Danio rerio: one gene and its partners. The protein of the gene in region 1 interacts with the protein of each later gene in a pairwise test. Links are inferred from orthologs where the notes say so. Each region holds a gene or a part of one and is shown in the gene's direction. Other genes may lie near its edges. The genes, in order: klhl41a, nrap and rchy1.

What was found.
Region 2: the proteins of klhl41a (region 1) and nrap interact in binary tests that used the Homo sapiens proteins (3 or more experiments, as listed by UniProt). The link is inferred for Danio rerio from reciprocal best matches to the Homo sapiens genes KLHL41 and NRAP.
Region 3: the proteins of klhl41a (region 1) and rchy1 interact in binary tests that used the Homo sapiens proteins (3 or more experiments, as listed by UniProt). The two-hybrid records come from large-scale screens. The link is inferred for Danio rerio from reciprocal best matches to the Homo sapiens genes KLHL41 and RCHY1.

What each region holds. Positions count from the first base shown.
Region 1 is NC_133184.1:50,135,917-50,140,190, reverse strand, and holds the start of klhl41a (kelch-like protein 41a), read left to right. Parts: upstream 1-1,337; 5' UTR 1,338-1,422; coding exon 1,423-2,511; intron 2,512-4,274. UniProt on the Homo sapiens protein: Involved in skeletal muscle development and differentiation. Regulates proliferation and differentiation of myoblasts and plays a role in myofibril assembly by promoting lateral fusion of adjacent thin fibrils into mature, wide myofibrils.
Region 2 is NC_133187.1:32,487,387-32,491,040, forward strand, and holds part of nrap (nebulin-related-anchoring protein), read left to right. Parts: coding exon 1-84; intron 85-163; coding exon 164-271; intron 272-995; coding exon 996-1,193; intron 1,194-1,495; coding exon 1,496-1,600; intron 1,601-1,747; coding exon 1,748-1,846; intron 1,847-1,931; coding exon 1,932-2,036; intron 2,037-2,425; coding exon 2,426-2,533; intron 2,534-2,659; coding exon 2,660-2,971; intron 2,972-3,068; coding exon 3,069-3,173; intron 3,174-3,654. UniProt on the Homo sapiens protein: May be involved in anchoring the terminal actin filaments in the myofibril to the membrane and in transmitting tension from the myofibrils to the extracellular matrix.
Region 3 is NC_133180.1:9,850,109-9,853,762, forward strand, and holds part of rchy1 (RING finger and CHY zinc finger domain-containing protein 1), read left to right. Parts: intron 1-722; coding exon 723-838; intron 839-3,251; coding exon 3,252-3,330; intron 3,331-3,409; coding exon 3,410-3,513; intron 3,514-3,654. UniProt on the Homo sapiens protein: E3 ubiquitin-protein ligase that mediates ubiquitination of target proteins, including p53/TP53, TP73, HDAC1 and CDKN1B. Mediates ubiquitination and degradation of p53/TP53; preferentially acts on tetrameric p53/TP53.

The sequences.
Region 1 (4,274 bases):
CCGGGAGAGAGCCCTGAGCTCATGAGATCTTCGAGCCCAGGGCTCCCTCCCGTTGCAAGGCGGGAGGGGAGTTTGAGCTCAGGTAGATCTCAAGAACTCCCCTGCTGTAGTAACTGATGAACAGTAAGTGATTGCTCTTGAAGATAACCACGTACTAGAAGCATATCTATGGTGCCAATTTGGATTATTCAATTAACTTAATTGCATGTTTTAGGCGGTGGGAGGAAACCGGGGAACCTGGGGGAACCTACGTGAGCACGGGGAGAAAGTGCAAACTCCACACAGAAATGTCTGCTGGTTTGGTTAAGCCTGGAACCAGAGACATTCTTGCTGTGAGGCAACAGTGCTACGCACTGGGCCACCGTGTCACCCATCTAGGAAGGAGGAGTAGGGGTGGAAGGGAAGACTCTTCAAAACGAAGATAGCAGTGGAATGAAACCCAGGGTATTTATAGTAGTTTAGGAGTCATCTGATTGGAGCATAGTGAATTGGATAATGCGGATCCAGCCGCTAGCAATCATAAGCACGTGATCCTCTCGAAATTTGTTTATACATAAACTTCACTTAGAGAGCATAGGATAGGTTAATGTGTTCAAATTTACAGGTACCAGTAAGAAACTTAGCGACTGCATTTTGGACCACTAGTAGGCGATTTATATAGGATTTGCCAATACCTATATAAATTGAGTTACAATAGTCCAAGTGTGATGATATTAATGCCCAAGTTAATCTCTCGAATTCCACAAGTTAAAAAGCCTTTCACTTTGGCTAATAATCTCAACTGGAAAAAACAAGATTTAACTACCTGTTTGTCAAATAGAAGGGCAGAATCAAGGATGAAACCTAGATTTCTTATAGATGGTTTAATGTAATCGGATAGATTGTCCAGCTTTTATTTCAGCTTGCCAGAGACGGCTAATAGTCCAAAGACGATTCCCTCAGTTTTACTTCTCAATAAGTTAAAAAAATTATTTGACATCCAAGCTTTAATCTGTATTGAGCCTATATTTAAATAAAAACCAAAAAGATACAAGTGCAACACGAATGAGTCACATCAACTTGTTTCTGAGTCATGATGAACATGTTAAAAAAGGTTAATGACATACACCTTTCCGACTATTTTAAACCTCTTTACACAGCTGTTGAATTACTGACGCGTCATTTAATAATATAGTTCGCATTTAAACACCCCTGACCTCTGAGTGTGTCCAAGGTTCACAGTTGTCTTTTTCAGTCTTTGACAGCTGCTTTACGCGACTCCCGTTTGCTCAGCCCGAATTCTTTCTGACTAGATGAGGGCTCTATATTTAGAGAAGCGGGGCTTAAATTGCTTGTGTTGGTGCTCTGTGTTATTTCAGCCTCTTACAACTGAGACGGCACAACGAGAGGAAGTATCGTATCCTCATCAAGCGAATTTTAAAGATGGAACCAATGAGTGTCAAAGAGGACCTGAGGCTTTTTCAGAGCACCCTGCTTCAGGATGGCTTGAAGGAACTTCTGAAGGAGAACAAGTTTGTGGATTGCATACTGAAAGTTGGAGATCGGAGCCTTCCCTGCCATAGACTCATCATGGCTGCGTGCAGTCCGTATTTCCGAGAGCTGTACTTTACTGAAGACGGCACAGAGAAGAAAGATGCCAACAAGGAAGTAGTGTTGGAGAATGTGGATCCCAACATAATGGATATGATAGTGAACTACCTCTACTCTGCAGACATCGATATTACCGATGACAATGTGCAAGATGTCTTTGCGGTCGCTAATAAGTTTCAGATCCCATCAGTGTTCACGGTTTGCGTCAATTACCTACAAAACAAGCTTTCATTGGGAAACTGCTTGGCTATCTTCAGGATGGGGCTGGTTTTGAATTGTCCGAGATTGGCTGTGTCCGCTAGGGACTTCATAGCGGAGCATTTTGAGACTTTATCCAAAGACGAAGAATTTCTTGAGTTTAACGCTCCTGAGTTTTTTGCCATTATTGGGTGTGACGCTCTCAATGTTGAAAAAGAAGAGCTTGTGTTTGAGCTCTTGATGAAGTGGGTGCGAAAAAACAAAGAAAACCGGGCGAAGGCTTTGGGCGATGCTTTCGAACACATTCGCTTTCGACTACTGCCGGAAAAATACTTGAAGGAGAAAGTGGAAAAGGATGACATTATTAAGGCCGACCCCGAACTCATCAAGAAGCTGAAGGTCATTAAGGATGCTTTTGCTGGAAAACTTCCACAAATAAAGGAGGGTGAGAAAGAAGGAGAGGGCGAAAATGAGTTGCCTGGTTTTCTGAATGACAGCCAACGGCTGGGGATGTTCAACAGGGATCTCATCCTGATGATAAACGACACTGCAGCCGTGGCCTACGACGCCAACGAGAACGAATGCTTTCTAGCAGCGATGGCTGAGCAGATTCCTCGAAACCACGTCAGCATCACGTCAAAAAAGAATCTGTTGTATGTTGCAGGAGGACTGTTTGTTGATGAAGAAAACAAGGATTCGCCGCTGCAGTGCTATTTCTATCAGGTATATAGTATACAGGGTGGATATAGGTAATATTTCATGGCTATACCATGGCTTATTTAGATTGTTTTGTAACATGAAATCTAATTTACTTTTGTCTGTTTGGAGTAGGGGTGTAACAGATCATGGCTGATCCATGATTTGTACAGATCACAACCCACAGTTCGAAACGCACTTGACTTGTTTTTTTCTTACTTATTTGCATTAGTGCATTCAGTATAAGCTGCACGATTAATTATTAAAAGATCGGGATTTCAACACCCATGCAACAAATTATAAATTATGGAGATTTGCATATGTTTATTAATCCATTGAATCGCTGCTTTCAAATCTGTGTTTGATAAACACAAAAATCCAGAAAGAGATTCAGTTCTTCAGTCTTTTTTAAATTAGTAAAGAAGTTACAAAAAGTCAAAAAACACAGAAGTACTGGGAGAACAGTTTATAGTTTAGATATAACCACTGATGTTTATGGTAGATTAAAATCACTGTCATATGCATTTAACTTGATGCGCAAAAAAAAAAAAAAAAATTATTAAACCAAACAAGTGGCGACAAAAAGCCATCAAAAATATGCCACTAAATAATTTTCAATAATGATCATCAAGCAATGAAACATGACATTTTAGGAGTGAATAAACTGAAAATGAGACTAAAATATGAGTTGTACAAATTATAATGTTAGATTTCTATATTTAGCGTTATCAGCAACAGTAGAAGTGACAGTGAATTTTTCACAGTACTGAATATTTTACAATTTATTTTTGTTCAGCTGATTATTCCTTCATTTTATTTTTCATATTTTTAATGTTTTTGTTATATAAATGGAAAGCAAATTACATTTGTCCCCACTCCTTTTTGGCTGATCCGAAAAATGGTCCAATCTGTGACTAAAAAACCCTAATGTGATCCGAACCGTGAGATTTGTCATCCGTTACACCACTAGTTTAGAGACTGTTTTCATCATGAAGCGACAGAGTTTTTGTTTTGTTTCTAGTCCAAATGTCTAGTCATTCTTAAATTAAAAAGCATTTTCTAGAATATTGTCTAATGATCAGAAATATTAAGTAAAAATGAAGTGAGTTTTTCCTTAAAACAAGCTAAATTATTTGCCAATGGGGTAAGCAAAGATTTTTTTTTTTTTTTTTTTTGTTATTACCTCATTGACAGATTATTTTGCTTCCTATAAGGAAAAACTCACTTCATTTTTACACACTATTTCTTAAAATGAGACGTGTTAACAGCTCCTTTAGAAATATTATTCCCAAGAAGTAAACTGTGTATAGAAATAAACAATTCTTATTTCCCCCACTTTGGAGATCTTCTGAATTAGTGAAAGATGGAAAGTTACTCAGCAATGAGACATGTCTAAAAAATGCTTCTAGATTTAAGAGTTTTTAGATATTTGGACTAGAAACTAAACAAAAAAGGCTTCAAATAGACCGAGGTAAATTAGATTTCATGTTTTCCGCATCAAAAGACCTTATTAAAAGTAGGCTACTGGTCACACTTTACAGAAGGTTTCATAGTTTATCTATCCTGAACTAAGATTGAACAATACTTGTAAAGTATATAATAGTAATCATAGTTTAACATTTACTAATGAATGCAATCCAAATTTGTGCTTAGTTAATGTACAGCCCTAACAAAGATGAAAACTTGCTTGTTCATGTTAGTACACATTAATGGAATCTTATTGTAAAGGGTTAACGTTACCAAACATAGACATTATTCGAAATTTTTATTACTTTTCACCCACCATAATG
Region 2 (3,654 bases), on another chromosome or scaffold:
AAAAACAAATCCAAAGCATGTGAAATTGGCCTGGACACACTGACTCTCAAAGCTGCCAAAGCCTCTCGAGATCTGGCTAGTGATGTAAGAATTAAATGCGTAATATAGGTAAAAATGAATGTTTTTTATTTCTTGGATTGATTGGATTTCTTGGGGTCTACAGATTAAATATAAGGAGTCCTATACAAAGAATAAGGACAAAGCCATTGGAATGGATGTGAGTGACTCCAAAACACTGCACTCCCTTCAGGTGGCCAAGCTAAGCAGTGAGGTAAACAATACACAGAGTTAGGTCAAGTTAAACAATAGTTTTTTTAATTAAAGGGGCTTTATGTAGAGTTCAGAAACCTTTTTGTTTTGTTTTTTTCGTGGCCTTAACATTTTAATAGGTTTATTTTACAAGTCTTAGAGTTAAACAGTTGAGTTTTACCATTTTTGAATATATTTATTTACACTTTTAGCTTAACTTAGCATAAATCATTAAATTGGATTAAACCATTAGCATCTCACTTTAAAATCTTGCTTCAATAATTCTATTTAAAGCTTGACTCTTCTGTAGTTACATCGTGTACTAAGACAAACGGAATATATGTGTAGAAACTGTACTTTCATTCTGGCCTAAATTAAGGAATCAAGGAATTTCGCTGTTGTGCCTTTTAATAAAGAAAGTGGAATGTTTTTTTAAAGTATACTTATAATGATATACATAAAACAAACAAAAAGTGCTTAGGGGTAGCTTAAATGTTTTGTCGGTGCTCTTTGGGTAAGGGAATTAACAAAAAAAATAATAAAAAACAACGAAAATCAGTCCAAGGCACTCGAAAAATTTGGAAACTTTAAAAAGCCTTTATTCAAATGGCTAATCCTTAAAAACCTATGTGTTTCTAAACAATAAAAAAGCTATCAATATGTACAAAAGTCTTACATAAAGCCCCTTAAACATCCAAAATACAAACCTATACAAAGCCTAACCAATTAAAATTTCTTTAAAATAGGTTGCTTATAAAAAGGATTCTAAGGAAACTCAATCCAAGTGCCACCTGCCTCAGGACATGGTGAATCTGAGTCATGCTAAGAAGGCTCAAGCTCTGGCCAGTGATCTGGAATATAGGAAGAAGTTACATGATTATACTCTCCTGTCTGATGACATGAAAGTGCAGCAAGCTAAAAAAGCCTACAAACTGCAGAGTGACGTAAGTAATGCAAGAACAGAGCGGAATGATACTCATAATGTAACTCTATGTGTTTGCTAAATACTCTAAATCAGTGTTTCCCAACCCTGTTGCTGAAGGCACACCAACAGTACACATTTTCAACCTCTTCCCAATCAAACACATCTGAATCAAGTCATCAGAACATTAGAAGAGACTCCAAAACCTGAAATTAATGGGCCAGATAAGGGAGACACCCAAAACATGTACTGTTGGTGTGCCTTCAGGAACACGGTTGGGAAACACTGCTCTAAATATTACTTTATATATACTATATACTACAGAACCAGTACAGATCAGACCTGAACTGGATGAAAGGAGTTGGATGGGAGGCCGATGGATGCCTAGATGTAGAACAGGCCAAGAAAGCAGGAGAACTCTTCAGTGAGGTTGGTGATCACAGGATTTGCATTACCAGACATTAATTTAGGCTTCACAACTAGCCATACCACAAAGTCATACCACCATACACTGCTGGACAGCCAATTTCAGTTGTTAAGTGTTGTTTAAATGTTCATATTTTCAATTCTATACAGAAAAAGTATCGCCAGAAGGTGGATATGGTGAAGTTCACACAAGTGGCAGATACTCCTTCCATCATGCATGCCAAGAAGAGCCAGGAGCTGCAGAGTGGGGTAAGATACAATGCATCTGATCTGATCTGTCTCTCTTTTAACTGGAATCTTTTCAGATGATTGATTGGATTTTTTTTTGACGCAGTTGGCATACAAGGCAGGCACAGAACAGACAATGCACCAGTACACTATAAGCAAAGATGAGCCTCTCTTCAAGCAAGCCAAAGCTAACGCAGAGCTTCTCAGTGAGGTATGGAACTGAATCACATAAACTTGTACACTGTATAAAGTGATTAGTTACTTAAAAAAGCAAGTTAACCTCTTGCCCTAAATGTGAAAAGTTGACTTAACTTAAAGTGAATAAACCCGTTGTAACTTGAAAGTGTTACAGTATGTTGAATTATAATTTTTTTAATTATGCACACATTTCATTTATTTAAAAAAAGAGTAAACCCCTTGCCTTAAAATGTTTAAGTCAACTACAGTAATCCGTTCAAAAGCAACCGGTTTACTCCCTTTTTTAGTAAAGTCAACTGATCGCCTTTATAGTGGATACACTGTATTTTGTACCATTAACCTGCACAAGAACTAACAACCCACTTCTGCTTTTAATCAACACATTGGGTTTCTGGTTTTTAGAAAACATATAAGAGTAGTTGGGATGAACAGAGGGAGAAGGGCTTTGAGCTAGGCTTGGACACACTTTCGATTCTCTCTGCCAAAGCAACAAGAGATCTCGCCAGTGATGTGAGTGAACAAGCACCCTACTGAAAGCACATGACTCACTTGCCACTCAATGACACTGGAGCTTTAGGTTCTGTATGGTGACTTAATACAATCTAAATGATCATTTCTGATGCTTTGTGTATGTAGGTGAAGTACAAGCAAAAATATGAAATGACAAAAGGGAAGATGATTGGCGTGAAGACTGTGGCAGACGATTCTCAAATGGCCCACTCGACCCATGCTACCAAACTCCACAGTGACCTCAACTACAAGAAACAGTATGAGGACACCAAGACCAAACACAGCGCCTCACTCGATATGTTGACCCTCACCCATGCCAAGAAAGCCCAGGAGCTGGCCACAGAGACAAACTACAAAACATTCTTGCACAAGTACACCATCCTGCCCAGTGATATGAAACTGGAATGGGCCAAGAAAGCCTACGGCTTGCAGAGTGATGTAAGTGTTTTCCCAGATCTCAATTTAATGAAGCGGAAACATGCTCATATATGCATTTGGTTGAAGTATTATGAAACAAACTTTGTTTTGATTGCAGAAAAAGTATCGCTCTGACCTGAACTGGATGAAAGGAGTGGGCTGGGAGACTACTGGATCCCTTGACATACGACAGGCTAGAAAAGCCACAGATTTAGCCAGCGAGGTACATGAACAAGGCTTATCATACACACTTAAGCTATTTCCATGCATTTTTAGATATCCAAGCACAATTAGTCAGCTGAGATGCATAACTTGAATTCTAATTGACAGAAAAATTCAATATCTTAATGCCAGAGCCTAAATACTATATCATATTTCACCTTTCTGCTTTGAAAAACAATATGCTTTGTTTGCCTGCCTGAACTAACATGATTGCTGGTGGTCAGCATGGGGACTAGGAACGATAGGGAACCAGCTACACTCTCTTTGTTTTGCTTGAGAACTGGGTGACCATGTTTTTCGGCCAACTAGACCAGTAATTGGAATTGGATGTGAATGTCTCCATTGTCCCTGAAGGGCAATTTGGTTTACAGCAATATGCTTATTTTACACGGCCGCCATATTAAAAACACGGAAGCGAGGCTGTGGTGGGAAGAAACCTGGAAGTATAGGATTAGCACTGTAAACATTGCAACAACATGCTG
Region 3 (3,654 bases), on another chromosome or scaffold:
TTCTAAACAAAAATCTCTCACAAAAGCTCCAATATTTTGCTTATTTTTTCAGCTCTGATCATAATTAAAAGCAAATCATAGAAATGGTGTCATCATGTACTCCTCCACTTGTTCCAAACCTGATGAGTTTTTTCTGTTAAACACTAATGGAGATGTTGCGGGACAGCCATTGTTCGTTCGTTCATTCATTCATTCATTCATTCATTTTTCTTTGGAAAATTAACAGTCGAATGAACCACCAACTATTCCAGCATATGTTTTAAGCAGCGGATGCTCTTCCAGCCGCAAACCATTACTGGGAAACACCCCTTCACTCTCAAACTCCTACACTACAGCCAATTTAGTTTCTTAAATTCACTTACAACAGATGTCTTTGGACTGTGGGGGAAACCGGAGCACCCGGAGAAAACCCATGTGAACATGGGGAGAACATGCAAACTCCACTCAGAAATGCCAACTGGTCCAGCCGGGACTCGAACCAGCGACCTTCTTGCTGTGAGGCGACAGTGCTAACCACTGAGCCATTGTACTGCCCTAAACAGCCATTGTTTGTTTTTTAATCCTAAAATGGAAGTCAATGGCTGCTTTTTCTAACATTATCGCAATGTCTTGTGTTCAACAGAAGAATTAAATTCAGAAACACTTGAGTTTAGAGAAAATTAGGACATTTTAATTTTCAGGTGAACTGTCCCTTTAAAGCTTTTGCATATTCTGTCCTTCAGGCTCAACAGATATGTAAAGAGTGTGAAGTGAAGTTCGGAGAATATTACTGTGACATTTGCCATCTATTTGACAAAGACAAGAAGCAGTACCACTGCCAGCCCTGTGGGATATGCAGGTTTGCATTGTATTTAAATGTTTTCATCTACCGTCTCCGGGAAAAATATAAATTAATATATACAATAGAAGTCAAAATTATTAGCCTTCCTGAATAATTAGAATTAAAATAATTAAAATTGAAATATGTGAAGAGGATAATTAATCCATGGCATATGTTACTGATTGACCTTATAGGCAGTAGGCAGTTTTATTAATATAGCACATTTCATACACAGTGGCAATTCAAAGTGCTTCACATAAACAAGAATAAAAAAGACAAGTGTTAGAAAAAAAAACTAATATTAAAAACTATTTAAAAACAGATGAAAATGTGTTAAAACAGGTTATTAAAGAATGAAAAAGAAAAGAAAGACACAACTGTGCAGTCTGTCGGATGTAGCTTAGTGCTTATTCAGTAAAGGCACGGCTAAACTGATGTGTGTTCAGTCTTGATTTGAATGTGCCTAATGTTGGAGCACATCTGGGGCCTCATGTATCAACGCTGCGTACACACAAAAACTTTGCGTACGCCAGGTTTCACGCTCAGAATCGCTCACGTTTGGATTTACTAACAATGAACTGAACGTGGGAATGTGCGCAGCTTTATGGCAGGCGTACCCACATTTTTTGTGCGTGTCTGTTTTATTTCCATTGGCGACTCTGGACTCTAGAGGCAGTTGTGTTAAATTCCTCTCTACAAAGTGTCTGAGCCTTGCAATGGCAGCTGTATGAGACGGGTTCATCTAGCAGGTATATAAGGTTTCCATACCATACAGTTAACCAGCTAAACATTAAAGCACAATTTGCAGCGGTCGTCTGTTTTCCCAATGTAATCTGAGCGATCTACTGCACGCACATTGCTATAAAGACACTATCTGAAGATGAATTTGCATGCGTGAATCAGAAACATTTCCATTCAATAAATGTGCAAATAAAATATGATGCACAAACTTATTAATTATTCCTACTTGTCTTTCTCGTGATAAATATTTGGCAAAATCTGATATGTAACGGGGAAAAAAAGAAGAAAGAGTTCATCAGACACTGGATTCGAACCGAGTTCATGCTCGAACGTGTCAAAACATGTTGACATGCGTCTTACAAGCTGCGCCACTGAGACTGTTAAAGGTAGTGCAACATTTTACACCTATAAATCACACTATTTCTTGTTTAATTCACTCAGTGCGATGTTCAGATCCAACTGTGTTAACCGCATCAGCTAAACTCTCCGACTATATATTTTTTTCTTTTGTTGTTAATTCCGGAGAACAAACTTGCAAATAACACCGCTTTTCTCCGGTCTACCTCCGAAAGCAGCACCTCCAATTCACATTCTGTTCAAAGTTTCTCTTCTTGCTTCGTTTTGCCGTTGCTTTTTCGTTGGGTTTTGCCAAAGTAGAGTCATTAGCATATTCATACGGGGGAGGAGGCAGGGAGGGGATTTGTGCTCGTGCATGTTGCGCTCAGTTTCACGTTCATTCAGATGTACAAAAGAATATGCGTGAGATTCGGCGAACGCAGTGTTTCATACATCTGAATTTTGTTCTGCGTACGCACATTTACAGCTTTGTGTGTACGCAATGTTTTAGTATGATTTCCACGCAAGTCTTCGTACATGAGGCCCCTGATCATTTCTGGAATCTGATTCCAGCAGAGGGCGCTGTTAGTAGCTGAAGGCCGATTCACTCTGCTTTGATTGAACTCTTGGATTTCTAGTTTATATGATCCTAAAGATATGAGTTATCTGTTGGGTTTCTATTCAGAGAGCATGTCTGTATTGTATTGAGGCCATTTAGTGATTTATAGACGAGTAGCAATACTTTAAAAATCTATTCTGAATGTAACTGGGAGCAAGTGTGAAGACCTGAGGACAGGTAGAGAGAAGGGACTCAATAAAAAGGGAACACACTCTTCCTGCTGCATCTCACTCTGCAGAAACCTGTTGCTGTATGACTGTCTGACCTTTGCAAAGAGTAAAATTTTAAAAGACATTTTGGGTAAGACTTTGTCTTCATAACCATTGAGAGAGCCTCTAAAGAAAAGAGCCACTACAATGACAGAATATAATATTTGACTAAATGTTTTTCAAGACATTAGTATTCAGCTTAAAGTGACTTTTAAATGATTAACTAGGTCATTTAGGTATGTTAGGGTAATTAGGCAAGTCACTGTATAACTGTGGATTGTTCTTTAGCTTTTATTCTAGCCAAAATAAAACAAATCAGACTTTCTCCAGAAGAAAAAAATATTACAGGAAATACTGTGAAAAATTCCTTCCTTGTTAAACACCATTTGGGAAATATGTCAAAGAGAAATAACAATTCACAGGATGACGAATAATTTCACTTCAACTCTACATGTTTTTATTGAACAAGCACATATGAAATTCTTCTAATAAGATTCAGATCGACCCTCTTTTTTTCTGTCCTTAGGATTGGTCCAAGAGAGAAATACTTCCATTGTACGAAGTGTAATTTATGTTTAGGTACTGAGCTAAAAGACAAGCACAAGGTATGCAATTTAGCGTTTTGATTCTTGAACGTTGCTTGCTGTCAGTAGTGAGATGTGAAGCAGTGTTTGTGCTTTTCAGTGTGTTGAGAACGTCTCCAGGCAGAACTGTCCCGTTTGCATGGAGGACATCCACACGTCCAGAGTTGGAGCTCACGTTCTGCCATGCGGTCATCTGCTGCACGGGTGAGTGCTTCAACTTCTGCCCTGCATGAAATAAGTTACTTGCACTTCAGGAATATGCACTGATTCGCTGATCTTGGATACTAAATAGGTACTGTATTTGTTTTTTTGTGTTTGACGATTAATTTTGACTAATTGCATCCC